Linked DNA regions of Rattus norvegicus. The protein of the gene in region 4 interacts with the protein of the main gene of each other region in a biochemical or structural test. Links are inferred from orthologs where the notes say so. Each region holds a gene or a part of one and is shown on either strand. Other genes may lie near its edges.

What was found.
Region 1: the proteins of Egfr (region 4) and Plcg2 form a complex in vitro, tested with the Homo sapiens proteins (2 studies listed by BioGRID and IntAct, with this or other methods). The link is inferred for Rattus norvegicus from reciprocal best matches to the Homo sapiens genes EGFR and PLCG2.
Region 2: the proteins of Egfr (region 4) and Blk form a complex in vitro, tested with the Homo sapiens proteins (2 studies listed by BioGRID and IntAct, with this or other methods). The link is inferred for Rattus norvegicus from reciprocal best matches to the Homo sapiens genes EGFR and BLK.
Region 3: the proteins of Egfr (region 4) and Fes form a complex in vitro, tested with the Homo sapiens proteins (2 studies listed by BioGRID and IntAct, with this or other methods). The link is inferred for Rattus norvegicus from reciprocal best matches to the Homo sapiens genes EGFR and FES.
Region 5: the proteins of Egfr (region 4) and Syk form a complex in vitro, tested with the Homo sapiens proteins (2 studies listed by BioGRID and IntAct, with this or other methods). The link is inferred for Rattus norvegicus from reciprocal best matches to the Homo sapiens genes EGFR and SYK.
Region 6: the proteins of Egfr (region 4) and Cav1 form a complex in vitro, tested with the Homo sapiens proteins (2 studies listed by BioGRID). The link is inferred for Rattus norvegicus from reciprocal best matches to the Homo sapiens genes EGFR and CAV1.
Region 7: the proteins of Egfr (region 4) and Dcn form a complex in vitro, tested with the Homo sapiens proteins (2 studies listed by BioGRID). The link is inferred for Rattus norvegicus from reciprocal best matches to the Homo sapiens genes EGFR and DCN.

The regions. Positions count from the first base shown.
Region 1 is NC_086037.1:62,492,316-62,496,533, forward strand, and holds the start of Plcg2 (1-phosphatidylinositol 4,5-bisphosphate phosphodiesterase gamma-2), read left to right. Parts: upstream 1-1,418; 5' UTR 1,419-1,809; intron 1,810-1,899; 5' UTR 1,900-3,483; intron 3,484-4,218. UniProt on the Homo sapiens protein: The production of the second messenger molecules diacylglycerol (DAG) and inositol 1,4,5-trisphosphate (IP3) is mediated by activated phosphatidylinositol-specific phospholipase C enzymes. It is a crucial enzyme in transmembrane signaling.
Region 2 is NC_086033.1:41,809,983-41,813,482, forward strand, and holds part of Blk (tyrosine-protein kinase Blk), read right to left. Parts: intron 2,759-3,500; coding exon 2,655-2,758; intron 1,514-2,654; coding exon 1,367-1,513; intron 1,026-1,366; coding exon 873-1,025; intron 1-872. UniProt on the Homo sapiens protein: Non-receptor tyrosine kinase involved in B-lymphocyte development, differentiation and signaling. B-cell receptor (BCR) signaling requires a tight regulation of several protein tyrosine kinases and phosphatases, and associated coreceptors.
Region 3 is NC_086019.1:143,749,814-143,753,181, reverse strand, and holds part of Fes (tyrosine-protein kinase Fes/Fps), read left to right. Parts: coding exon 1-124; intron 125-205; coding exon 206-325; intron 326-490; coding exon 491-613; intron 614-724; coding exon 725-911; intron 912-998; coding exon of another isoform or gene 999-1,033; coding exon 1,034-1,117; intron 1,118-1,658; coding exon 1,659-1,868; exon of another isoform or gene 1,869-1,896; intron 1,897-2,170; coding exon of another isoform or gene 2,171-2,203; exon of another isoform or gene 2,204-2,242; coding exon 2,243-2,365; intron 2,366-2,653; coding exon 2,654-2,707; intron 2,708-2,821; coding exon of another isoform or gene 2,822-2,842; exon of another isoform or gene 2,843-3,189; coding exon 3,190-3,308; exon of another isoform or gene 3,309-3,334; intron 3,335-3,368. UniProt on the Homo sapiens protein: Tyrosine-protein kinase that acts downstream of cell surface receptors and plays a role in the regulation of the actin cytoskeleton, microtubule assembly, cell attachment and cell spreading.
Region 4 is NC_086032.1:95,539,126-95,542,625, forward strand, and holds part of Egfr (epidermal growth factor receptor isoform 1 precursor), read left to right. Parts: intron 1-1,139; coding exon 1,140-1,286; intron 1,287-3,233; coding exon 3,234-3,331; intron 3,332-3,500. UniProt on the Homo sapiens protein: Receptor tyrosine kinase binding ligands of the EGF family and activating several signaling cascades to convert extracellular cues into appropriate cellular responses.
Region 5 is NC_086035.1:12,761,274-12,764,773, forward strand, and holds part of Syk (tyrosine-protein kinase SYK), read right to left. Parts: intron 2,754-3,500; coding exon 2,641-2,753; intron 1-2,640. UniProt on the Homo sapiens protein: Non-receptor tyrosine kinase which mediates signal transduction downstream of a variety of transmembrane receptors including classical immunoreceptors like the B-cell receptor (BCR).
Region 6 is NC_086022.1:46,605,074-46,609,337, reverse strand, and holds the start of Cav1 (caveolin-1), read right to left. Parts: upstream 2,801-4,264; 5' UTR 2,646-2,800; coding exon 2,616-2,645; intron 2,071-2,615; exon of another isoform or gene 1,918-2,070; intron 1,367-1,917; exon of another isoform or gene 1,190-1,366; coding exon 1,025-1,189; intron 1-1,024. UniProt on the Homo sapiens protein: May act as a scaffolding protein within caveolar membranes. Forms a stable heterooligomeric complex with CAV2 that targets to lipid rafts and drives caveolae formation. Mediates the recruitment of CAVIN proteins (CAVIN1/2/3/4) to the caveolae.
Region 7 is NC_086025.1:34,166,641-34,170,772, forward strand, and holds the start of Dcn (decorin precursor), read left to right. Parts: upstream 1-1,332; 5' UTR 1,333-1,358; exon of another isoform or gene 1,359-1,364; intron 1,365-4,131; exon of another isoform or gene 4,132-4,132. UniProt on the Homo sapiens protein: May affect the rate of fibrils formation.

The DNA.
Region 1 (4,218 bases), on a different chromosome or scaffold from region 4:
TGTGTATGCGCGTACATGTGTGTTTGTGTGTGTACATGTGTGTGTGCATGTGTATGTGTGTATGCGTGTATACGTGTGTGTTTGTGTGTCTGTATGTATGTGTGTGTACATGTGTGTGTGTACGTGTGTGTGTGTGTGTGTGTGTGTGTGTGTGTGTGTGTGTGTGTGTGGTAGTGTGATGCATATGTATGATATACTTGTTCCGGCATGCGCTTGTAGATATCAGAGGCAGATATTGTCTGTTTCTCTCACTTGCTTCCTTACCTTGTTTTTGAGACGAGTTTTCTCATTGAACCTGGAGTTAACTGTTTTGGTTAGATCAGCAGCTGGCCGATAAGCCTCAGGATTTCTCCATTTCCCTTCCTGCCCCAGGGCTGCTGTTGCTGATGTTTGATCCTACACTCAAGTTTTTACATGGGTACTGAGGATCAGAACTCAGGCCCTCATGCTTGCACGGCCAGCGCCTTACCCACTGAGCTGAGATCTGCGGCTCCTAGAATAATCTTTCTTAGATGTCAGCTTAGATGTCGCCTCCTGAGGGAGACCTCCCCGATCACTCAGAGAGCACCCCTCCCGTCCCATCATGCCTCACTGTGCTTTGGTTAAGTTTTATAACACTGCTGCCAAATGATGTATTTAGTGATTTACTGAGGGCAGGGACTTGATCCATCTTGTCCCCTGCTTAATGGCCTGTCTACCAGAATAATGCCCGGCACTTGGGCCTGACACCGTCATTGACCATGAGAACTTTTGATTGACAGCAGCAGTTGCTTGAGTGTGGGCTTGTGCTCGGCACTTGCTGAGTGAGTTCTTGAACGTGAACTTATTTCTTTAGACTCTCAGGTCCCCTTTGTGTATGTTTTTTCATCTTACCAGCAGGAAGTGGAGGCCAGAGGAGTGACAAGTGGTGTTGGTGACACGCAGTCTTCTTAAGGACCCCAAGCTGGGGCCCTGGACATGGCTGGGGGGAGGGGAGACAGGTTGCAGATCAGGCCATGATGCAAATTAAACTTCTGTTTCTATGACAGGGAGCTCAGGTTTGCCCTGCCTACCTGGACTGGAGGACGTTCAGGACACCCAGGCTCTGCTTCTTGCAAGGTTCTGCCTCTCTGAGAGGGAAGGAACTGTTCACCTCCCCGCTGGCTGCAGCAGGAACTGCTAGGAGATTACCCTGCCCACCCTAAGTGTTGGTTTGCAAAATGCTGAGCCTGGTGGGGAAATGAAGGGCTGGCCTGTTAACCACAGCGAGGGCTCATTTGCAAGAGTGAGGCTGGGCCAGGGCGGGGGGGGGGGGGGGGGGGCTGCTCTCCCTCTAGCAGAGCCATTTCTGCAGGCAGTTGTCCTGTAGGGACCCACTTGGGTCCCAGTCCTTCACTTGAGCTTGGAGTGGGAGGGTGATAAGGGGTGAGGGGCTCATGCTACAGCCTCAGTCTTCTCCTCTGAGGAGTGGGCTGGTTGTGATATCATGAGGTGCGAAGGAGCCCGTGCCTGAGAACCCTTCACGAACCATGAGTGCTTGGTCAGGAATTGCTGCTGTCATGCCATGGAACTAGGTGGTGGACATGATCAGAGACCCTCCCCCAGCCCCTACCTCATATACCTTCCAGAAACAATCCCCACTTTCATAGCGGTGTGTCCTCTCTGTTTCTTTCTGAACATGATTTAAATTTATTTACTTATTATGTCAGTCAGGGTCTCACAGCCACTGGCCCGGACCTTCCTATCTACTTGAGGATGGTTTCAAACTTCAGATCCGCCTGTCTCCACCTCCTGAGTGCTGGGATGACAGGCACGCAGCACCAGGCCCAGGTTAGACGGTGTCGGGGATCAAAGCCAGGGTCTTGAGCATCAACTGAGGTACATTCCCAGCCCTAATTGCCACCTTCATTAAACTTCCAGGAGTCTGATACGGAGCTGGCCCGATGACTCTCTGTCACAAGACTGTCATCCCGCAAAGCTGAGGGTGATGGCAGCAGAGGATGGGACAGTGCACCAGAAGGAGTTTGATGGTCCCTCGTGTGAGCAGTCTGGTGCTGATGGTCACCCACGGGTCATCTAGAGTGGTTACAGTAAAAGGGAGTGAGAACAGGAAAGAGGAAGTCTGGGAGAGGAAGAGATGGTCCACAGAGGTGGCTGTCGGAGCAAGGCCTGCATGCGAGGCACTCGGGCCTGCTCAAGCTGCCTTGTAGAACTGGTGCCTCTAGAGCTGTTGTCTCCCTCATCTCATCCTGAGGGGAGTGACCCAAACCAAGGGCTGCATTTAGGGTTCAGGGACCCAGACGGGCTTTGATGGACTGAGGGAAACCAAGCCTTTAAAGAAGTTCCAAGGAGGCGGGTCAGTACACAAGGTAGTCCTTGTACAACTACAAGGACCTGGGTGTGGGTGCCCAGTGCCCATGTGAAAACCCATGGCAGTAGTGGTTTGTAACCCCAGTGCTGAAGGGGCGGGTCCTATTGGCCATCCAGCCAATAACTGAAGAGCTTCAGGCTTGGTGAGTAACCCTGTCTCAAACAATAAAGGTAAGGGGCAACAGGGGAAGACCTCTGATGTCAACCTTGGGCCTCCACATGTGTGCAAATGCACCCGCGCGCGTGCACGCACACACACACACACACATACACACTGACTGGTTCACTCAAGACATACATGCATATATACACATGCTCACACACGTACATACTCACACTAAGTAGCACGTACGTGCACGCACTCACACTAACTAGTGCATAACAAGCACATGCACGCACTCGTGCGTACACACACACACACACACACACACACACACACACACACACACATACACAGTAAGATCTGTGCTATCCTAGGGCTCTGGAATTATCTCCCAGAGACCATTCCCTCTCCTCTCTGCCCACACCTCATCTGTGCCCTTTTCTTGTTGTGGGTGTGTTGGCAGCCTAAGTTTCCTGAGCTAGTGTGGCCTCGTCCCGGTGGGAGAATGTGGTGACTCCTGAAAGCCCCTCCTGCCATCTCTCACCATGGACGGACACAGCCCACCTGACTTATCAGATGGCTGGCTTTGGCCTTTGAAGTCACCTACTCACCTGTACAGATTCACTTGACTTAAAAACAAAGACCTGGCTGCAGTCGCTCTCACCCTGTCACTCGCCCCAGGGTGCTTGGAGAAGGCCTTGTGGGATTTCCCTTGATGACTGGAGGAGTTGGGAAACCGGCCTTGTTCACCTTATCTTCTGGGCTTTTACCTTGGGACACTAGTTACCACCCTGATAAACCCCAACCAGGTGGCCCTGGCTGCAACTTCTGAGGGTGGCAATAGGTAAAGGGATTTTCTTTGCAGGAGCTGGTGGGAAGATGAAGCAGCTAGTTAGTCTGGAGCTGGCATCTACAAGAAAGCCCCGTCTGTTCTCTGTCCAAGTCAGGATGTTTCTGGCTGGAACTTGACCTTGGCAGTGCTCCCCGTCTACCGGGCTGCTGATGGAAGGAATGGCCATCCATCCGTGGGTGTGAGTGTCTTGGCTCGGGAGCTGAGCCCTGCTCTGGACCAGTGGGGCTTGGGCAGAGCTCGCCTAACCTGCTCAAGCTGGTTTCCTTTTCTGCAAAAAGGAAACAATGAAAAAGAGTTTCACAGCTCAGAGAGGCGGGAGGAGGGACTCTGGAAAGGCCTTGGCCTCTGGCTGAGGGATGGGAGCCCTGAAAAACTGCCACTACTTTTGGGATCTCGGGGCAGTGGTTCCTTGCAAGGGTGCTCAGGGAGAGGAAGAGTACTAGCAGGCTTGAGCGAAGTCTGAGCAAGGCAGGAAATCTTTCCTGGAGGGGAACTTCTTGGGGGACCAAGGCCCACCTGTCCTCTCCAAGCATCTCTTTTTTTCCCCCCAAAGTTTTTTTTTATTGGCATAAATTTATTATGGCTCCAAAATTAATGCATAACCCATATGACATGTTCATAAATGAATTTACTGCTCTTTAGGTAATATTCACTCCTATTGTCTTTCTCGAGCCCTTCCCCTAGTGGTCCCCCCTACTCAAACTTTTCTTTTTTTGGTGAGTGTGACTAGTGAGTTTAGTTGGGGTTACTTACAGGGGCAAGAAGCCTGGGCACCGGTAGGTGGCGATACCATTAAACAAAAGGTCTCTTAGCTGGGCAGTAATAGCGCTCGCCTTTAGTTCAGCACCCAGGAAGCAGAGGCAGGCCGATCTCTGGGCTCAAGGCCAGCCCGGTCTACACATTGAGTTTTGGG
Region 2 (3,500 bases), on a different chromosome or scaffold from region 4:
CAGACATTGAAGACCACAGATTCAAGCTTCACTCTATTCGGGCCCAAGGTCTAAGCTGGAACATGTAGTTCCTGCGGGGGATGATGGGAGCTCATATCTTGTGCAAGATATTAGCTTGTCTCTGAAAACCCCACGATGGAGCCTCAGGATGTGTCTGGAGTCTGTGTTCGTGCAGTCTGGGGTGTGGAATGACACCCAAGTGTGTAAGGCAATGCTGGGGCAATGTTCTTCCCAGACGTGCCGAGCCTTGGTGAGGACCAGGTCTGCAGCTCCAGATAGAGGAGCCTCAATTCTGGGCGTGAGGCTCAAGGAGGCATCAGAGTGGACGTTTTGAGACATGGACCAGAGTAGAACAAGACAAAGGGCCTTATGTTACACCCGGAGAGTGCTTTCAGTAAGCAGCAGCAGGCAGCAACTATGACAGGATGATGTGGCCTCTGGGGTTGGGACTCCCACAGACACACCCCAGCAAGCATGACTTCTGTTTGCACAGACCCTGGAGCTCCTGACTCCAATATCTGATGTATGGCTTATGTCTGGAGAGCTGGGGTTAAGAGGACCTAGTGAAATGGCCAAGTACACATAAATCAGCCACAAAGACAGCATCAGGCTGAGAATAAGAGGGACTGGCTTGAAAATTGGGAGAGCTGGATTCGAGTCTCTTCCACTACAGGGAAGACAAAGTAACGGTGTGAGTTCTTTGGCACCTGGACTTATTAACTCATCCGTAAAGACACATAGCCCTGCCTCCACCCCTCACAGGCCCCTCAGGAAAGGGGGTGTGCTGTCCCTATGGAGCTGCCTGCCTCCTGTGGCCACTTCAGGCTCAGAACAGAGAGTAGAGAGAGGGAACTTGGGATGCCACAACTCACCCATCCAGACTTCACCAAACTGCCCAGACCCAAGTTTCCGGACCAACTTGAGGGACTGCCTGGGGATTTCCCATTCGTCTTGGGCCCAGGGATTCTTCGGGGCTGGGTTCACACAGGGCAGGGTCAACTTCTGACACAAACCGTCCCCTTTCTCTGTTTCAGGGAAGAAAAGAGGGTCCTGGAGGTCACCAGAGCAGATACGTCTTAATTACCACATTGTCCCACAACTGTGTCCCCTGTCTCACTCCCGTGTGGGAGGCAGGACGTGATTGATGTCTGGGATCTGCACTTTCTGAGACTGCAGGTCTTTTGCTACATTCCGAGGAGCCCCTATGAAGCACTAGGCCTCTGATCTCCAAATGATTAAGCTGAAAGTTGGCACGTCCTTAAGTCTGGTTTGGAGGACCCCAACCCAGTTGATTCACACAGTTTAGGGTCATGCGGTAGAGACCCCAGGGATTCCTCAGGGAAGCCCCTACCCCAACACCTCTTACCAGAATAGTGCTGCACCAGGGCCTGGAGGGTGGGGAAGGTGATCCGGGGCGAGATGTAATAGCCTCCATTGTCCAGTGAGCGGATCTTATAGTGCTTGACCATCTCCCCCTGGCTGGTGACGTCTTTCACAGATAGGGAAAAGGCACCTAGAGGGTTAATAGACACATTTGAAGTAAGACAAAGTAAGTATAGTTGGGGCTTATGAGATGTGAAAAAAGGTTCCCAAATTCTGTATTCAGTTCTCAGACGTTTCAACACTCTCCCAGAACACTCCCTATTGGCTGTCTGACCCAGACTTCCCTTCAAGCCCCTAAACTGCCAGGGACTCAGGAAACAGGACTGTTTCTCATCCAAATATGGGTGCCTGGAATACTGAGAAGTGAAAGGTCTCCAGAGGACGTGGAGCTTAAATATCTTTGATTTGAAGGATGATGGCTTCCCCCAGAGAATCAGGGCCTCCAGTGCAGATGCCTTTCCCAGAAGCATAGCAAACCATTCACCAGAGGCCTTTCTCTCACACTGTGTTTTATAGTCTGTGTTCACATTTTTGTATAGACAAGGAAGCAAGGCACACAAGAATAAAGAATTTCCCTCCTGCCAAGAAGTTTGTTTCCTTGAGCTTTTATAAAATGCCTCTGTCCAGCCCTGTGGCTACCACAGAATCTCCCATTTTCAAATTAGTTGTGAAATGAGGCCATTAAATGGAGGTTAGGAGAAGAGTTAGAAGTAGGCTTGGGGTGGGGGGGCATCCCACCCTTCCCACGGACACATCTTTGAGGAGCAGTCCCACCCTCCGCCACAAGGGGTCAGGCCTGCACACCTTTCGTGTGAGGACCTTGATACTATGTTGCTGATTGTTTTGGATGCTTTCCTCATCTCAAGACTTTTCTCCTCTTGTATCTTTCCTTGCCAATCTGTCTCTCACAGCCTATTTGCAAAGGGACACAAAGGGTCTGTACTGCTGTCCATCACACCTTGATGTTGCCATAGGCCTTGCTCTTTCCCAGCCTCCTGTGACCTGCCACTCTGACTGAGATGCTTTCTCAGTCAGATTCTCCAATCTTGACTCTTTGGTTCCAAAAAAATGCCAGGGAACTGAAGGCTATCTGGTGCCTTTCCTTTCTTAGCCCCTATCTGCCTCAGTCCACTAGTTCGTGACCACTGTAACAAGGGACATGGGACAGAAGCCATGGAGCAGGTATCCCTGCTACTCTGGACCAAAGCCATTGTGGGGCTTCCCAGGACCATGCACACACAGCAAGGGGGCGGCGAGCCTCCTGAACCCACCTTTATTGCTCTCACTCTCTCTGATGAGAAAGGAGCCGGCTTTGTTCATTGGAGCCAGCAACTGCCTCTCAGCATCCTTCCGGCTAATGGTCCTGAAGAACCATCTGGAAAACGGCAAGAGTGGGTGAGCCTCAGAGTTGGTGACACCCCTAAGTTGATCCTGAGATGTTCCTCACATCCTGCTCAGTTAGATGGCTCCTAAGGCCCTGCAACCCCACCCCATCCCATCTCCCATCAGCTTCTAGGCTCACATTTTCCCTGAACGAAGCAAGAACATGGGCTAGGTAACCTCCATTAGTGTTAGTCTGCAAAATTGTTCCTGGCCCACCACTGTCCCCTGGCATGAGTTTGTAATTTCCTTGCTTTCTGAGTGAATAACAGCAGTGCCTGGGGCTTTCTGGGCCTGGTTCCTTCCAAGCCACCTCTCTTTATCACGGGGCTTTTTGTCATGTGTTGTGGTCAGATAAAAAATGTTCCTACAGGCTTGTGTGTATTTGAAGATGTGGTCCCTGGCTAGTGGTGCTGTTTTGGGAGGCTGAGAAACCTTCTAGATATGAGGTCTAATTGGAGGCCATGGGAGTGGCACTTGAGGTGACAAGCCAGCTCGGCTGCCCTGCTGGAGTTCTAGCTGCTTCCTGCTCCACCAAGCTGTGAGAGGTACCCAGCTGTACATTCTTGCCGTCGTGAACTCTACTGTGTCTTCCCCACCCTGATGGGCTGTACTTTCTCAGACCATGATCCAAAATGAATCCTTCTTTAAACTATAGTTTTTTTAATAATGATGAAAGAAGTAACCAATACAACATGGTTCTGGGGGAAAACCCAGGGCCCACGTTGTGTGGGAAG
Region 3 (3,368 bases), on a different chromosome or scaffold from region 4:
AGGAATACCTAGAGATCAGCAGTCTGGTGCAGGACGATGTGGCATCCATTCACCGTGAGCTGGCTGCAGCTGCTGCTCGCATCCAGCCTGAGTTTGAGTACCTAGGCTTCCTGCGACAGTACGGGTAAGCCGGGGTCCTTATCCTTGAACCTCCTGGGCTCCGGGGCTTCTGACCTAGTCTCTGAAGGGCCCTGTGCACCCACAGATCTGCCCCTGATGTCCCACCTTGTGTCACTTTTGATGTGTCACTTCTTGAAGAGGGCGAACAGCTGGAACCTGGGGACCTGCAGCTGAACGAGCTGACCTTGGAGAGCGTGCAGCACACGTGCGTGGTCGCTTGTCAGACTTCCTGTGTGTGGGGGGGGGGGTGGGTGGGGGTGGGGGTGGATGTGGGGGCAGGGAACCCTTGGCTAAGTGGCCAGGCTAGGTTGGCTTGTTGGGGTGCATGTGGTGGGGGCACAGCTTTCATTATCCTGCCCTTGGGGTGCAGGCTGACCTCTGTGACAGACGAACTGGCTGTGGCCACCAAAGAGGTGCTGAGCCGGCAGGAGATGGTCAGTCAGCTGCAGCGGGAGCTCCAGTGCGAGGAGCAGAACACCCACCCCCGAGAACGGTGAGGAGACCCCACCTGCAGCAGCCTCCTGACTCCGCCCCTCTGCTGTGCATGCAAGGTTCAGGCTGACTCTCTCTCTCTGCCCTCCCCTTGCCCTGCTCCTGCCTGCAGGGTGCAGCTTCTGGGCAAGAGGCAGGTGCTGCAAGAGGCGATGCAGGGGTTGCAGGTAGCACTGTGCAATCAGGACAAGCTTCAGGCTCAGCAGGAACTTCTACAGAGCAAGATGGAGCAGCTCGGGACAGGCGAGCCCCCAGCCGTACCACTCCTTCAGGATGACCGTCATTCCACCTCTTCCACGGTGAGATGCCCTACCACTACTATGCCGACCCCTGCCAGCCTGCGTGCAGGGGCTGCACTCCTCATTTTTGCCCTCCCCCTCCCTAAGCCTGGCCACACGCTGACGTCTGTCCCTGGCCTCAGGAGCAGGAGCGAGATGGGGGAAGGACACCCACCCTGGAGATCATTAAAAGCCACTTCTCTGGAATCTTCCGCCCCAAGTTCTCCGTGAGTAGTCCAGAGCTGGACCTCTACCTCTGCCCATCTAGTTAGGCCAGGCTAGGAGTCTCAGACCTTAGACCTCCACACTCTGGATAGAAGGACCTGCCTGCCTAGAACACTTTCACAGTGTGGGGTGGGAGGAGCGGGGCGGGGGGCAGCGGAGCACGAGCAGGGGACAACATTTCCTTCCTCGGGTTTCCTTCCCTGGGGTTCTAGGCTGCAGATACCTCTGAGCCCTGCCAGCTCTCGTGTCCTCTCTTCACCATCCCTATATGCCGCAGGGGCATGTGGCTTTGGCTACTGCACTCCTCTGCTGCTTCGGGAGTGACGGAGAGGCCTCTGGTTCAGAGGAGAAAAGTCCTAACTTGATTGGGATCTGCTAGCCCCAGCTTCCCATTTCAGTTGTGCCCAGAGTGAGCTTGAACCAGGCCGCTCTAGTGTCCCGTGGATAGCTTAGGGATGAGAGCAGGTGACACGGTGAAACCCCACCTTAGCCCAGGGCTCTCCCCTTCTGAGCCAGCCCAGTGACACTGCACACTCCTCCCAGATCCCTCCTCCGCTGCAGCTCGTTCCAGAGGTGCAGAAGCCCCTCCACGAGCAGCTGTGGTACCATGGGGCTATCCCTCGGGCAGAGGTAGCTGAGCTGCTAACACACTCCGGGGACTTCCTGGTTCGGGAGAGCCAGGGCAAGCAGGAGTATGTTCTGTCTGTGCTGTGGGATGGCCAGCCCCGACACTTCATCATCCAATCCTCAGATGTAAGTGGGGAGGGGACGCTGATCCTACTCCTTCTGTCTTCCCCTCTCTAGGGAAATGGTCTAGAGCTCAGTGACCTTGAGTGTAGAGAGTAACTGCTGTACCTTCAGTGCCTCCTTCTCTAACTCAGTTGGAGGGCCCCAAAGAGAATATCCATGTCCCTGAGTCTTTCCTCCCCAAAGAAAAAAGATAGCAAGAGTGCCACGTACCAGTGTGTCCTAGGCAGTCCCTGCCCCCTACTCCCCACCTCTCCACCACACCCCTAGTCCCCCACTTCTGTTGCTGCTCTTCTTGCCTCTTCCAGGGCTCAGGTCTCCTTACCAAAGGAAGCTGCTGACCTCAGGTCTCCCCAACACCCGTAATCCCTTCCTCACAGAACCTGTACCGGCTGGAAGGGGACGGCTTTCCCAGCATCCCTTTGCTCATCACTCACCTGCTGTCCTCCCAGCAGCCCCTTACAAAGAAGAGTGGTGTTGTCTTGTTCAGGGCGGTACCCAAGGTGAGCCTGTGGCCAGCCTGGCCCACGTTGAGCTTGGGAATCACAGGTGCTCAGAGTGTGGATAAGCATTTACCCCACAAGAGGGCCAGCCTCCCCCTTGGTATGGGATGCCATATATATCAGCCTGATCCCCAAATTATCTGAGTGTCCTGATATGACCAAACCTATGGGCCAGTGTGACACAGTAGGTCAGCTCCAAGACTGACATAGTGTCAGCCGGAGTGTCTTCCACAAGGCCCAGCACCCCTTCTGTTTGCCGACTTCTGAGTCCCTTGCTTCTTTCCTCAGGACAAGTGGGTACTGAAGCATGAGGATCTGGTGCTGGGAGAGCAGATCGGAAGGGTAGGTGTAGCCCCACGACCCTGGGATTCTCCAACCTTCTGGGCTCTACCTGTTACCTTCCTCACAGCTTCTTCTAGGCCCCTCACCAAGTCTCACCTCTGGTTCCACTTCCAGGCTCCTAGAGGGTCTCCTTGACTCAGTGTGATTCCAGCTCATAAAATATCGAATACCAACTCCTAGACTGACATCTTACCCCAGCTCTCGCCCTGCTCGAGGGTGTCTTACTAAGCACCTCTGTTAATATCAGACGCCAGCCACTTTCCAATCAGAATGCTTTCCCGACCCAAAGAAAAGCAATTCTTCCCATGTCACTTCTTAGAGAAGGTGGCACAGACCACGTTTGTATCTTTACGAGGGGAACTCCTCATAGAGACCCAGGGTGACAAGGCAGCATGGACAGTGGGGACAAGATGGCTTGTCCTCTGGAGGTGAGAAAGGGAAGCAATACCAGGAAGTTGTGGTAGGAACCAGGACTATTGCAGGGGAACTTCGGAGAGGTGTTTAGTGGACGTCTTCGTGCAGACAACACCCCGGTGGCTGTGAAGTCTTGTCGAGAGACGCTCCCACCTGACCTCAAGGCCAAGTTTCTGCAAGAAGCGAGGTGGGTCATAAAATGGGAACAGTCAGAGGTTCCTTGTGTGAGAGGCTTCCTCTGTGCACT
Region 4 (3,500 bases):
TACCACACCAAGTATCACTAGAGACAGCCATGAACACACGCTGCAGGGAAGGTCGTGGGGGGAAAAGGACCCAAATGTGAGTTAAGCTTCTGCCTGCCGAGGTCAAACAAACATAAGCTCCTGCTGTGAACTCGATGTGAACCAAAGGAGGACAGCAAATGAGGTTTCATGGGGGGAGCGTTTCTGATAGAGAAACAATGTTTTCTTATGAAATGGCCAAGACCGTTGTTTCATGCGGCGATTGGTTTAATCTGTCTGTGTCATGGCTTGGCAAGGGTAAACCATGAGAACAACTGGAGAGGAAGTAAGAATGAGAAGACAGTTACTGTTTGTTCCCAAGGAAGACCCGTCTCACCGGGGCCCAGCTCTTCTAGATACAGCACAGCCACGCACAGGACTATGCTTCACCTTCACAGGGAGACCACTCTTGCCAAGGCTCCCTTGCTTGTTCTTCCCTTATCTTGAGCCTATTGTGGCCTAACCAGCAATGTCCTTGGTTCCTGTGTCAGGCACTTACTTGGTCCTTGAATTTGCCCAGAGGCAATTCAGGGAAAGACGAGAAAGCATTGTCATTATAAAACACAAGTATCACCTCAAAGGGAAAAGAGAGAGTTTATTCTGATCTAGACTATAGGTGGTCATACCAAGGAACACAAATTCAGGTTGCCCTGAACGTTTTCCCTCTCAGAAGCAGGTATGTCAGATTGTATTAGCTACCGACCAAAGAGCATTGTATAGCAAATGGCGTGTAGTTTACAACCTTGCTTCCTAAGGTCCTTGTTTGTACTACTGTGAGTATAAAGTAATCGGAGCAGTTGTGTAAGTGAGCAGACATTGTTCTGTAGCAAACTTATGCACCACAGTTGTCCTTGTCTTTAAGGTTATAACTATTCCACTTAACAGCCAGCAGCTATATGCCTCACATTTAGCTAAACATTTTTTGTATAAGATCTTAGTATATCCTTGAAGCTATTGTCTTACTGGATAGGTAAGCCCAAGGTATCAGTAATCAACCAATGGCTCAAGGCTACAGAAACATAGGTTTTAAAATACTTACCAATGATAATGGATAAAGAGTAGGTGGTGTGTTAATCATTAACTCATGGAGCAATGACTTTCTTTGCCTGGTGTCTGCCCAGGAGTCACCGTGTGGGAACTGATGACCTTTGGGTCCAAGCCTTATGATGGGATCCCTGCAAGTGAGATCTCATCCATCCTAGAGAAAGGAGAGCGCCTTCCACAGCCACCTATCTGCACCATCGACGTCTACATGATCATGGTCAAGTGTGAGTGACTGGGGTGACCATCCACACTCATGTTGATGGGCCTGGAAGATGTAACTGCTCTTAGACAAATAGCCCGGGCCTTCATTTCCTGGAAGAAATAGAGTAGGACTTCAAGGCAGGCCACACAGTTCCAGAAACATCATAAATACCTCCAGCAAGCATTCTTTAGGAATCAGTTGCTTGCCTCATTCTGACCTCATATTTGCCCATATTTGCAAGCAAATAAATCAAAACTGAAGTCTTTCGTAAGCCATTATTCCCAGATATTCTATTATCTGAGTTGCTCAATGAACTTACAAACTTGCATTATATTTTGAGACCTGTTGCTAGAGAGACTTAGTGTTTTAAAATGCCTAATAGTGAGTAACCATGGGAGTTTGATAGAATCAATGTTTCTGCTCTGGCTTAAATCTTTCAAACAGTGGATTTATATGAGGTCTCCTGCAGTAAAGCAGTTAATCATGTTAATTCCAGTAGGAGGTTGCATTTGGATCAGTGCTATTATTCCACACAAATCGACAAGTGTGCTCTGAAAGTAACAGTACCCATGTGATAGCATCGGCATAGAAACAGCATAGGAATATGACAGAGCCGTGGTCTTGGTTTTGCATTCTGTTGCTGTGATAAAACACTGACCAAAAGCAACTGGTGGAGCAAAGGCTTTATTTGGCTTACAGCTTACTGTCTATCGTTAAAAGATGCTAGGGGAAAAGCTCAAACCAGGAAGCTGGAGGCAGGAACTGGAGCAGAGATGGAGGAACACTGCCTACTGCTTTACTGTCCTTGGTTCACGCAGCCTGCTTTCTAAGAAAACAAGGAAACACCAGCCAAGGGATGGCACCGCCCACAGTGTGCTGGGCTCTCCCACATAACTCATTAATCAACACAATGTTGCTGACAGGCCAATCTACTGGAAGTGTTTTCTCAGTTAAAGTTTCCCTTCCCAGATGACGCTAGCTCATTTCCAGTTGACAAAAATCTAACCAGCACAGCTGCTTTAACCTAAATAACAATACATCTCTGAACTTTGGAGCAGAGCGTTAGTCTATTTTCACTGCTTTGGTTTCAGCTGAGGAAGCTGAGGCCCAAAAAGGTTACATGATTTGTCTAAGGTCACACAGCAGTTTAGCCTAAAATAGCTTGATATCCAGTTGAAAAAATAAATGGAATCCCCAAGAGGCACCAGGATTTCCAGTGCACAGTTTATCCTCCCCATTGCTGGATTTATGTTTAGACCACTGGTAAAGCAAAGCATTACTGTTAACTACTAAAAATAGATTTACACAGAGAGTACTAGCATTATGAGACCCTAGGTTCAATCTGCATCACTGATAAATAATTGATACATGGGTGAATACATATGTACACACATGTACATACATACATACATGCATGCATACATACATTGATACGTAGTTAGATGGTAGATGGATGGACAGACAGAAAGACAGGACACAGATCCAGCCTTGTCACTTGCATGAATGGTAACTGAATGGAGAATGCAGTAACCTTGACGTTTCTGTAAATTTAATCTGGTTTCTAGTTTAGAAGGCTGTAGATTAGGACAAAGAAAATACAGAGGTATACCAAAGTCAGAGAAGTTCAGTAGTGATTGCATACAGTAATACACTGTGGTCACTGAAGATCATAATGCAAGAGTGATTACTAAGGAAGGGCAAATAGAAAAACATTAGCCTATATGTTATTATTACTCTGATGAAAACTGTTGTATAAGACTGGGAACAAATGCACAAGGCATTATAACAACTTCTCATGGGCTTCAAGAACTAACCAGTGTCAGCCATGTGCCAAGGCTCTCACAAAGATTATATGCACTCAGTATCCACATGCCTAACAAGATCACAGCATAAAATGCTCTGAGTAATGCCCTCCTTGTTGTTCCTCCCAGGGTTCTCATTGCTATGCTTTGCTTCACTTCTCTCTCAGGCTGGATGATAGATGCTGATAGCCGCCCAAAGTTCCGAGAGTTGATTCTCGAATTCTCCAAAATGGCCAGAGACCCACAGCGCTACCTTGTTATCCAGGTACCAGGCCAAAGTTGGTTCTTCCACTGTCAAAATCTTTCCAATCGCTCCAGATGCCACCGTGCTAGAGCAACACAGCCCGTGAGGTGTTTTCTTGATAATAAATCCTTTTGTGCATTAGAGCAGCCTCTACTAGATACAATGACTGGATTACATGGGGGATACGTGA
Region 5 (3,500 bases), on a different chromosome or scaffold from region 4:
GGACACGGGTAACACTGGCAGGAAAAACTTGTTCTCACCAGATGCAATTAAAAACGAACCCAGTAAACGTGCTGGTGCAGACTCTATGGAGTCTGAGAATCAACCGCTTTCCTTAGGACCCTGGAATGCCGACCTTGCTTCTCTTACTTTGCTACATTCTGGTCCGTGATGGATCGAGCAGACAGAGCTTTCAGTGAGGAAACCTGGGGTTAAAAGCCAAACTGGCCCTGCTCTGCCATCTGCCCTGTCACAACCGTAGCTCCACAGGGCTCAGCCGAGATTAGAGAGAAGAGACATAGAACCCAGGGCCAGCATTCTCTCACAGAGCAAAGCTCTAGAGAGCTGCACGGGTGGGCGGGCCCAGTAGCATCTTAATGGATGGTCTTGATTGAAGTGGAAACGTCTAGTTCTTTGGAAAGTTAGCTATGCCAAATGATGTCTTGCTGGGGCACAAAAGTAAAAAGGATGTCTTGCTGAAGCAAACACATGAAAGACTGTTTTCCTGAGGCAGACACAGGTGAAAGGACGCTTGTTGAAGGAGTATGAATATGACCCCACAGACAGTGGGAGATGGGCACTGAGCTTTGGTTTGCCCTGCCTCGCTATTCTTCACTAAAGACACGCCTTACATAGCATTGTTGAGCTCAACCTGTGATGATGACGCCCTTGAGAGAAACTCTCCCAAGAACTGCTCCTGAGGTCCCTGCAGCTGCCTGCTGATTCTACGGCCTCGCCTCAGGCCATTGATGAGCCTGGCGGTTTCTTCAGGATTGAGTGACAGCTGTCTGGGGTCTGCTTGCTGAAGGAACTGGATTGGAGCTGTTGGTTTGTGCCTGGTGTTTGCCTGCCTACAGGACCGGTCTGCAGTTGCCGAATCGTATTTGGTGTTTGCTATGGGAATGCACTGCTGCCCAAGAAGATCGAGCTCGCCCCCAAAGAACTGCTGCTGAACAGGTCCACTTCCCCAACATCCTAATAACTTTCCTCTTCCACTGCCTCTGCGGGGTGGTGGGCCAGAGGAGAGGTTGAACCCTTATTAAAAGTAGGTTGCAAAAAAATGTATGCCTACACTCAGTGTCAGCTAGCGAGAACCTCACTAACACCAGACAGCTTTATCACAGTGGCTGGTATCTCCCCGCAGCCACAGCTGAGCATGCCCAGTGGCTCACCGTGGCTTCACCGTGTGCACGGTGCCCTGCTCAGGGCTGGTGGGGAAGGCAAAGCACACTGTACCTAAGAATAGGGATGGGGCGTCTGAACTTGTAGGCTGGGCAGTCATGAATGTGGCATGTGGCCACCCTGCATCACTATCTGGGGGCTTCTGGGGTCAGCGGGAGCTTCTAGCCTCCATGTTAGGATTCTCGGAAGCAGGGATGCTCCCAGACATGTCTGAGTTTGGCAAAGGCAAGAGTGTTCTAGATGCTTGAGAGGATATCTGGGATTCTGTGATTTTTTTCCCCCAGGCACAACAAAGTCTCGTACAATTATAAGGGCTGGTGACTTCTCGGCGGCCCTGGTTTGCCTAAGTGTGCTTTATGACACTCCCACAGTTACAAAATGTACATAGTAGTATCCCTGCTGGGAAGTGACATGATTGGATAGGTACACAGTCAATCTCTGGCCTGCCTCCTGCCCTCACCTATGTAGAAGGCAGCACATTCCCAATGCGTCAAGAGAACGCCCACTTCACGTTAATACCCAGTGTGATGGCTAAAACCCGGCATCCCTCTTGGTTCCCTCCAGTTCTTTGTCTCTGACTCCAGTCCCTGGAAGATAAATTCCCAGTAACCCCTACTCAGTGATCGCCACCCCAAAGGTACAGATGCGACCAGACTTGTATGACACGACCCACTGCCTTTTTAGCTTCTGTAACTTGCTTATGCAGGGACCTGAAGGCTGTTTTTGAGTTGCCTTAACCGATTAACTTGGCGATACAGAACAGACCAATTTTTGGTTGCCTGTTCAGATACTGGAGGTCTTCCTGTGGTTTTCCTCTTAAAACAAAACAAAAGGAAACAAAACAAAACAACAGCAGCAGCAGCAGTAACAGACCCTCACGACCCTCCTTCACAGCAGTTTCAAACAGTGGCTCAGAGATTGCTCCTCCTGCTTGCAGCTAATCGATAAATCTTTTAAATACCATCAGATGGAGTCTATGGTCTTTTCCCAGGGGTCACAAACTCTGTAGCAGTAGCTGTGGTTTGTTTCCATTGTCAACTCGACACAGTCTGGAACCCCTTGGGAAGAGAGTTTCCACAAGTCTACAACAGGTTGGCCTGTGGTGGAACTGTCCTGTGTTATTTGAATGAAGACCCAGGCCACCATGGGAGGCCACTGGACCAGGGAATCCTGAACTTTCTGTGAAAGGAGAAAGAGAACTGAGCACTGGAAGCACGTGTCCCATCTTCTCTCTCAGCGTTCTGATATGCTATGACCAAATGGTTTTAAGTTTCCACCTCCCTGACTTTGTGATCATGGACTGTAACCTGGAGTTCCTTGCTAAAATAAATCCTTCCCCTCTAAGTTATATTTTGGTCATGGCATTTTATCACAGCGACAGAAATGAAGTTAGGACAGCAGCAGCCACACTGCCTACTTCTAGAACCTTCAGGTCAATGGTAGGAAGGGTTGGGCACTCACTCGTAAGTCCAGCATAGGTTCATCAAGTCGTACATCTCTCTCGGGCATCCTGGAGGGCACCCCATCCGCTCTCCTTTCTCCAGCATGGCAGTCACTTCGCTCCCTTTCATCCCCTGAGATGTGAAAATGGACACAAGCTTTCAAAATATACAAACAAGAGTACCTCACCCGCAGACACACAGGAGACTTCAAGTGACATAAGTCACAAGACAAGAGTAGGGGCCTCTCCTCTGGAATCCTCGAGTCAGCCTGGTTGCCCAGTGAGAAGTGTGTAGGGGAGAGGGGAGGCTGTGGAGTTTCTGTTTTGATCCCTCATTTAGGGAATTCGGTTTTTGGGAAGCTTCATTTGTGATAAGCCATTGAATGATACCCTAGGATCTGTCTGCACCCAGTAAACACACACACACACACACACACACACACACACACACACACACTACACACACACTACACTTACACACACACACACTACACTTACACACACTCACACACAAAATACACATACACTACACTCACACACATATTACACACACATACTCACACACACTACATTCACACACTCACACACACACACTACACACACTACACTCACACACACACTACACTCACCCACACTACACACACATTACACACATATACACATACTATAAACATACACTACACCCACACACACACACTAAACATACACACTACACTCACACACACTACACACATATGCACACACACTATACTCACACACACTACACACACACACATTACACACATATACACATACTATACACATACACTACACTCACACACACTACACACATATGCACACACACTACACTCATACACACATACTACACTCACACACACAC
Region 6 (4,264 bases), on a different chromosome or scaffold from region 4:
ATATTATTCATGAAGGTGAAACTCTATTGGAGCTCCTCCCATCCTTAGATAGGAGACTGTGGGTGGAAGCCGCATCACTCCTCAGTGGTGAATTAGGGGCTGGGCAGGACAGCACCTTCCCACTGGAACCCCCGAAGCTAGGATTTTCCTTGGCCCTCCAGGCCACTCAGAGGAAACCCTCTGCCAAGGACAGCTCAAGTCCAGGATTTCTCAACCCAGTCGGATTCAGACAAGAAATTCCTTGAGCCAGAATTGTTGAAAGGGTCAAAGTTGAATAACGAACTGATAATGAAAGTCAGACCACTGTGTCAGGTCTACATGGGTCAACATCTCAGGAAAGTAATGTATTTTAAATCCCAGCAAGTACATCTTGAAAATGTAAAATGGAACACCAGCCTGTGTTCTCTTAGCCCAGGGCAGGCTGACCTTGGCTTTCACCACAGATGCACACATTTAACTAGAGGGATCCAGAAGTCAAGAGGTGGAAATGATTTTCAGTTTGGTAAATTGGCTTGCCCATGCACGTGTGCTATGTTTTTAGAGTTAAACACACACACACACACACACACACACACACACTGCATACAAAAGTTGTACATATATCTGCATATGTTAACGGTTGGAAGCATTTCCACTCATTTACTATTTTTAGGCTAATCATTTAGATTATTTAGCTGAAGGGATATGCTCATTCTGCGTCCTAATATTCACCTAAAGTCTCACACAATTGTTTCACCCACAAATAAAAGACCTGTAACTGGACTTTAACCTTCCAATGGACCATAATCATCGTCCGTTCCGAAATAATGTGCATGTGTGGGGCTGGGGGTCTATGGACTCCCCACCCCCCCACAACAACTGGCTAAATTCCTACTGAACTAGCCAGCAGGAGGAGGCTGGCAGATGCGACATTTCTGACACTGGACCCGCAGGGGCTCACACACTGCTAAGCTCAAAAGACAGTGCCAGTCTGCCAAAGCTTAGGAGACTACATTGAGGGACGCAAACAGCAACCAGTGTTTACCTTGACCACGTCGTCGTTGAGATGCTTGGGGTCGCGGTTGACCAGATCAATCTCCTTGGTGTGCGCGTCGTACACTTGCTTCTCATTCACCTCGTCTGCCATGGCCTTGTTGTTGGGCTTGTAGATGTTGCCCTGTTCCCGGATGGGAACAGTGTAGAGATGTCCCTGTGAGGGCAACCGGCCAAGCCAGGGGAGGGCGGCAACAGCGGTGGGAAGAAGAGTTCAGAAAGAAAAACAAGAGTCAAGAGTCAGCCTGGCTGTTGGTGGGGGGAGCCTGGAGCTCCAACTTTTGCTAGCTTCAACCTCCCAGGAGAAAGGCTTTGCACACAGAAAACTCCAACGCTGCAAGCTTTTTAAGAGGACGGAGCGGAGGACACCACACCCCTCGGTACCAGGCGGGGAGCGCCTGCCTCCCGCGCCGCCGCCAGGGGTCAGGGCGAAGCCCCATGCGCCCTCCTACTCCTCGCGACTCCCGACTGTAGCTCCCTAGGCCAGGGGTTGGGATTCGCTTTCCGCCTCCTCTGTATTCCTTCTCTCCACCAGGCCACCCGTGTCCCTCAACCTCACCTGCTCCTCTGTCCCTCTCTGAACCGTTAACCCCGTCCTACGATCCCTTCCAACATTATCAAGATCCCTCTGGACCCTGCTGACAGACTTAATGATCCTATCTTCTCTGTCCCTCAGTGCTTCTCCCTTGCACCTGCTGCAGCCCCTACCCTTTTTACCTCCCCACTCCACCCCGTGCTCCACGGTGTTCCTTAGGCCGTGGGGGTGAATAAGTGGGTCACAATCTAACACACTTCTTTAAACAGAGGCATGTACCAAGACCCCTCACCCCGCCCCCATGCCCCAGAACGAAATGTCACCTGAAGGACTCCCTCACCCACCCTTACTTAGATCACCCCCAGGCTGTCTACTCCAGGCTGAACCGTAGTCATATTGGGGAACCCAGGTCGCCACATTCAGTCCACCAGAGTACCAAGAAGTAGTTGACAATGGCGGTGGTACTCGTGAGGAAAGAGGCTCCCCCACCTCGGACCTCCTCCGGGCCTCTCAGGGGCAGAATTATTGAAGTTCTCGAGAACTTCGCTAAGTGCTATACACGCACGGCGCCGCCCATGCCAGCCACTTTAGGCTCCTGCGGGGGGCTGTCCTCAGGACTGCGGGCAAATGAATCTCCTTTACCCGAACACACACACACACACACACACACACACACACACACACACACACACACACACACACCCCACCAGCTCTAAGCCTCTTAGTAGGTAGGGGCTGGACCGCCGCAGGGGGGTCTCGCGAACAGTGTCATCTGGAAAACTTCTCTAAGTCTGGCAGACTCAGACTCATAAAACAGTACCCGGGGGTTCTTCTTTTCTCCGTTGGCTCCTTTGGTCCCCTCTCCAAAAGGAAGCCCTAAGGCATTCCTAGCTTTTCACCTCCCCACCCAGCCCATTCCTCCGCGGTACCAGCTCGAGTGCTGTGAAGGTGGAGAGAGGGCTGGGGCTAGGAAAGCAGCCCGAGCATTTGGAGTGCGAGATAGCAAAAGCAGGCACTTTGGAGCCGGCGCGCCCTCACCCAAGCCTACCTCGGAGTCTACGTATTTACCCCCAGACATGCTGGCGCGTGGCTGGCTGCAGGCTCTGAGGAGGTTTCCCTGGGCTGTGATTTAAGAGAACTGAGGAAGGAAGATCTTGTATTGTATAGAGGGGGAAAGGCGCTGGCGGGGGGCGGTGGCTGAGAGGGAGCCTCTTGGCTGTTGGCCAGGGGTTTGTTCTGCTCTCAGTTGGCTGGGACGTGCTCTGCGCCGGGTCTAGGCACATCCCCAAGGTTCTGGCAGCGGAGGGCGGGGAGCGCCCGCGGGGAGCTGAGAGCCTGTGAGAAAGCCTTCATCAGAGCTAGGCTGTCTGTTTGGGCAGATATTTTAGACCCGCGGCAACGTTTTCCCAGCTATAAACCAACAGAGAGGCATCCAGGGGAGAGCGCGTGTTTTCCCAGTGCATCATCTCAGCAGGGGTGGAGGGAGCACAAGAGTTTGCTGAGATGCCCAGTATGGGCATCCGGCTCCACGGAAAGAATTCTGCCCTATCCTAAGCCGCTTCCCTTCCCGCTTCGCCCACGTTCCATTACCCACTAGGACTGATCTCTCTTCTTGTTTCACAGAGAAAGATAGAGAAGAGATGGCTGGGAACCTGAGGGAACATTTTTTATATAAACACAGCGAAGGAATCTGTGTGGGCGCCTCTGCAATAAAGAAAATGAAGTTCCTACCAACAGGTTATACCGTAATCATAAAGCACTTTGAATGTTTTCAACTGCAGAAAATTTTACTTGGAGGTTCAAGCTTGTTACCAGAGAGGATTTTTCCCTCCTTGGCTTGAGATCAAACCCAGGGCTTTGTGCATTTTACCTAGAGATAAACACTCTGTCACTGAACTACATCCTCTGCCGCAGAGGATACTGGCCCAGGAATATGTGCTTGGCTGTGAGAGAATATGTTGTTGTTGTTGTTGTTGTCTGACAAAATTTTTTTATGTTAACAACTAAATATCAGTTTCAAAAGCTGACCAACCTCCTTTTGTTTTATTGTAAAGAGGAATAATATAAATCATGGTTGCGTTTTACTAATTAGAGACAGCAACTCAGCAGCTCACCACCCCCAATAAGGATGAAAGGGATGTTTTACCTAAGCGTTCCTATGCAAATACTTCCGTAGTACTCTGAATGGGACAGAGAGTACATTTTAAAATGGCCACCAAGAAGCAGGAGCATGGGGTCTTGAAGACAAAACCTGGGGCCTGAAAATAGATAAAAGAACTCATCATCTGGGTCCTGCTTAGAGGGAAAAGAGACAATCTATCCTTTGAATTAATTGCTAATTAATTAATTATCAATGTATGAGGAATTATAAATTATAAATATTATTTGTAAGTAATTTAATTATTGTTTTATTAGCATGTGATATTAGCGTAATGTTAGTGGGGTGCAGTGTGCTACTTCAACACTTGCGTATGTCATACTGATCAAATGAGGGTGGTTAGCAGTACAGTGTTAGAAATAAAAGGATGGATTTTAGTTAGGAATGGCAGGGAGAAAGTCAGTGTGGTAAACAATAGGTAACATGTGCTGGCTGTTCACCATGAGATTAAAGATCTTCCAAAAGGCTCATTTCCTCAGTTTTACTTCTACTAAATTACTCTTCCAAAGCCTTTGATTAACTTGTGTGACAACATGCAT
Region 7 (4,132 bases), on a different chromosome or scaffold from region 4:
CCAACACTTGGACTCTCCACTTTCTAAACCAGCAGAATAACCCAGTCTGTTGTAACTCAGTGCAAGAACGGTGTGTGTGGAATGATCAGTTAAAAGACAGGCAGTTAAGACTTGGGAAAGAAGTCAAAATAAGTTTAGCTCCATTCTCCCCCTCTTCAGATTTCCTCTCAAGAATTTAATTTCTCAGCCTCGAAAAGCTCGAGAATATTTCCTGTCGAAGCATGCAGTTAGATGGGTAGAGGAAGGATGGGGGAATCTTCCCCTTTTTCACAGATGGTGATTTCAAGTCCCCACCTGATGAGAGCCTAGAGGCCTGGGCATAAAAATGCAAGTCAGAACCTGGGAAGGCAAACAGAACAGCCCGCAGCCTCCAGAGATGGAATTATAAAATCTCCAGAAACTTTCTACACCGCCTGAATAAACACTCTTACTCTATTTGCTCTCTCTTCTCCTTCTTTTTTCCTTCTATTTACTGAAGTTTAAAAAGAACCACAGAAAGTCCTGATTACATAGAGGACCCATCTGTAAAAATCATTTTTTTAACCTACAAATTATATTGTAATCTGCTCCTAGTTTCTATGTGTTTTATTTCACAAAAACAAGGGGTAGACAGCAAGGAAGTTTTTGAAGCCGTGGGTAATGAAAGTAATAAACAACATATTTTCCAGATTAAATTCTGGCTTTGTCCCAGAACACCACAGAAATGCATTCAAAATGCACAGGGAACTACGCAGCCCTTGATCTTCGGAGCCCACGGGTCTAATTCTGTGGAAGTCTACCCAGTCTTCTTTGCAAAACGGCTATAGGATTAATGTCACTCCATTTCCCAGACCCTCACATCTCTAAAGCAAGAAACAAAATATCATTTCAGCATGATAATAAATACTACTTACAAACAAGGCGGGAAAAGGTGGAGACTGGAATGGGGTTGGGGGTGGGGTGGGGAGACAAACTCTTCAGTTCTAATCTTTAAAAAAAGAAAAGACAAATTTCAAATCAAGTTGCTCCACTGGACTACAAAAGCAGTTTGGAATGCTGGGCGGATGCGAAAGGAATAAAGCAAACGTGGAGGGGGAGAAAGAACGGGGCCGATAAAGTTTCTGGCTACAGTACAAGAGACGTATCATTACCATATGATCTAATGTGGGTGTCAGCTGGATGTGCTCACTCAGTGAAACCTTAGTGTTTAACTGTGCTATGGAGTAGAAGCAGGAGGTTTTCAACCTAGTGACAGTCACAGAGCAGCACCACCCCCTCCTCCTTTCCACACCTGCAAACTCTCTTGCTTGGGCTGCATTACTTAGTGTTAATTACATCGCAGCTTTGAGGGCTCCGGTGGCAAATACCCGGATTAAAAGGTATGGCTTTCAATAATTGTCCTGAACTCTGCTACAGGCTAATAAAGCTTCTGTCAAGTGGAGGGCAGAAGGAAATATCTGGTGAGAAAAAGGAACGAGAAGGAAAGTCGTGCTAAACTTTGTATAATGTTGATACAACATTAGAAACGAGTTGTTTGAAAAACAGAAATTAAGTAGTCGGTAAAAAAGAAAAAAATACTGCTTGGATGCAATGTTTTTGTTTTCGTGCTCTCTCTTCTGTTCTTGCAAATATGCTTATTAAAAACTTGTAACCTAACACCATGACTGACTATAATGATATTTTTGCATTTGTACCGATGAAATGCTTTGCTCTTTAGAAACTGTTAGCAGAAAAGCATTTGTAACTAGCATATTGCTTGTGCCTAAGTTAGGTATTTAAGGATTTCTTCTGGTGCTGGATTCTTGCAAACTTCACAAACCTTTAAAACCTCAGCAGGTCAAGTTTCTGGCTATAGAAATATAATGTCTACTTCTGCAACAGCAAAAATGAACAGGAATTATTACCAGAAAGGTGAAAAGGAACACTGGAAATATATATTATGTTAAAGATCCGAGATAATACAGCTGCATACCTCTTTGGCTATAAATAAATGTTCCTGTCAATAATTTCAATGCAAATGAACCTTTCTTATGAGGTGCATTCACTAGGAGGTGAGGGTGGGGGTTGATTCTCATTTTAACTTAAAGCAGAGTAAGCAGAGGACCACTGGTTAGGTGTGCCCCAGTGATCTCTGTGCCTGTGGCTTTTCCCTCCCTGTCGCTGTTTATTTTAGCAGACCTCCCCGAAAGAAACATTGGACTTTTTTTTTGTAGCTCTTGTTCATGGACAAATGCATTTTTATTGCTTATATTTTAATTATTGCTGTTGTTACTGAAGTTTTTAATTCACCTTATAATGAGGGATTTAAGTGTTCTTGTTCTGTATTTGCAGATTTTCTTGATACGTACATGTTAAGTTTTAACTCTGAAACACCTAACAATGGTATAAGCATGTTTACATTGAAGTCAACCTGGATGAAACAGCTAATCAAATAAAGGAAGGTTTAGGGGTCAGACGAATTCCTTTTGGTGAGACATTTTTGAACCAAAACAACTATTTTTAAGGAAAGAGTGGCTTTACAAATATTTGAGAGTAACAGTTTCCATGCGATATAAAAAGTGTTGCTTCAGTTACAACCTCCTTTCTTTGTAAATTTCTTTGTGCTATTCCAGTTGTTATTTATCACAAAAGGAAAAAAGATCAGCACTGAAGTTACCTTGAGGACTATTGGCACTTAAGATTTCTCTTAAGTTAATTCCTCTAAACATGCTGGCTCTTTGAGTATTATAAAAAATATTTAAAAGGAATTTCATAAGAGAATTTGAACAAAATTTATATGCACACCATTTTAGGATAGCAGAATTCACAAACATGCTTGCAACACATGCAAACACACCATGCATGCACACACACATTCACATACACCCACACCCCCCACATACACACACGAGAACGAGAGAGAGAGAGAGAGAGAGAGAGAGAGAGAGAGAGAGAGAGAGAGAGAGAGAGAGAGAGTTACTGAAGTGCTGAAGTGGTATGCAGTCTGACTGTATCAGGCTTTAATCTAAAGGAAGCTTGAGCAGGGAATTTGTACTATTTTAACAAGGTAAACAAACATAAATAACGACGGTGTTTCGGAGCTTATGCTCAACAATTCCTTTTTAGGGCTGCTAGTAAAGCCACCAGGCACATCAGCACTGGAGAGTGGATCACAAAGAGACATCTGCAGAAATGCTCCTTATTCTTCATTAAATATGAGATTACTTTGTTTCTTCTTCTTCTTCTTCTTCTTCTTCTTCTTCTTCTTCTTCTTCTTCTTCTTCTTCTTCTTCTTCTTCTTCTTCTTCTTCTTCTAAAGTTACAAGGCATTAAATATGCAAGGCCAGCAAACTTATGGTAAACCATTAACATTGGATCTTAATGTGAAACAGAGAGAAGGCTTCTCCTTTACTGCAATCCAAAGAAACATCCCTAAACAATAACCTCCCTAAACGGTAATCGAGTGGGAGTGGGTTGTTAGAGGGCACTTGTCCTTGAATTTGGGGAAGTCATGTGAATCATAACCTTTACGATCTTTTTAATTGAAAAATCACAATTCTGTATGGGTTGTTCTGTTTTAGTCACACTCCAGTATTAAATATGAATTAAAAATGAAAGGAGAATTTTTTTTAAAAAATAATTGCAAAGCATTTGCTTATTTCCTAGTGGAGCTGCAAAAAGCTTCAAGGATATACATTCTGTTATATGTTCAAAAGATATCTTTTTCTTTTCTTCATTTACTAGCTAGTAATGAAAAATAGTAGCAGTAAATCCAAGAGAGCGTGTCATTGGATTTGCAGAGACGCAGGTCTTCTTGAGACCATGAGTCTGTAAGTAAGCCTGCAATGTTTGAGGACTACTTATAAGAGCTGCAGAGAGATCTTAAGCCATGTCAGTTCAAAATCAGGTTGCTGGATCTCTCTCTAGACTGTTCATTTTGAGTTATTTAATTCATATCATAACTAGAAATTTTCCGTGAATATACAATTTGTGCTTTAAAACATCAGATGTGTTTGGTTTCTTGGAGCAAACAGAGTGCACTGTGTTATTAATAAACTGATGGTGGCTGAGTCACTTGTGTTCAAAATATTGTGCAAGGCATGGGTGCAGAACAGGGACTAATAAGGCACGCCCTGAGGGAGAACATCCACTAACACTGGGGCAGAGTAAGCAC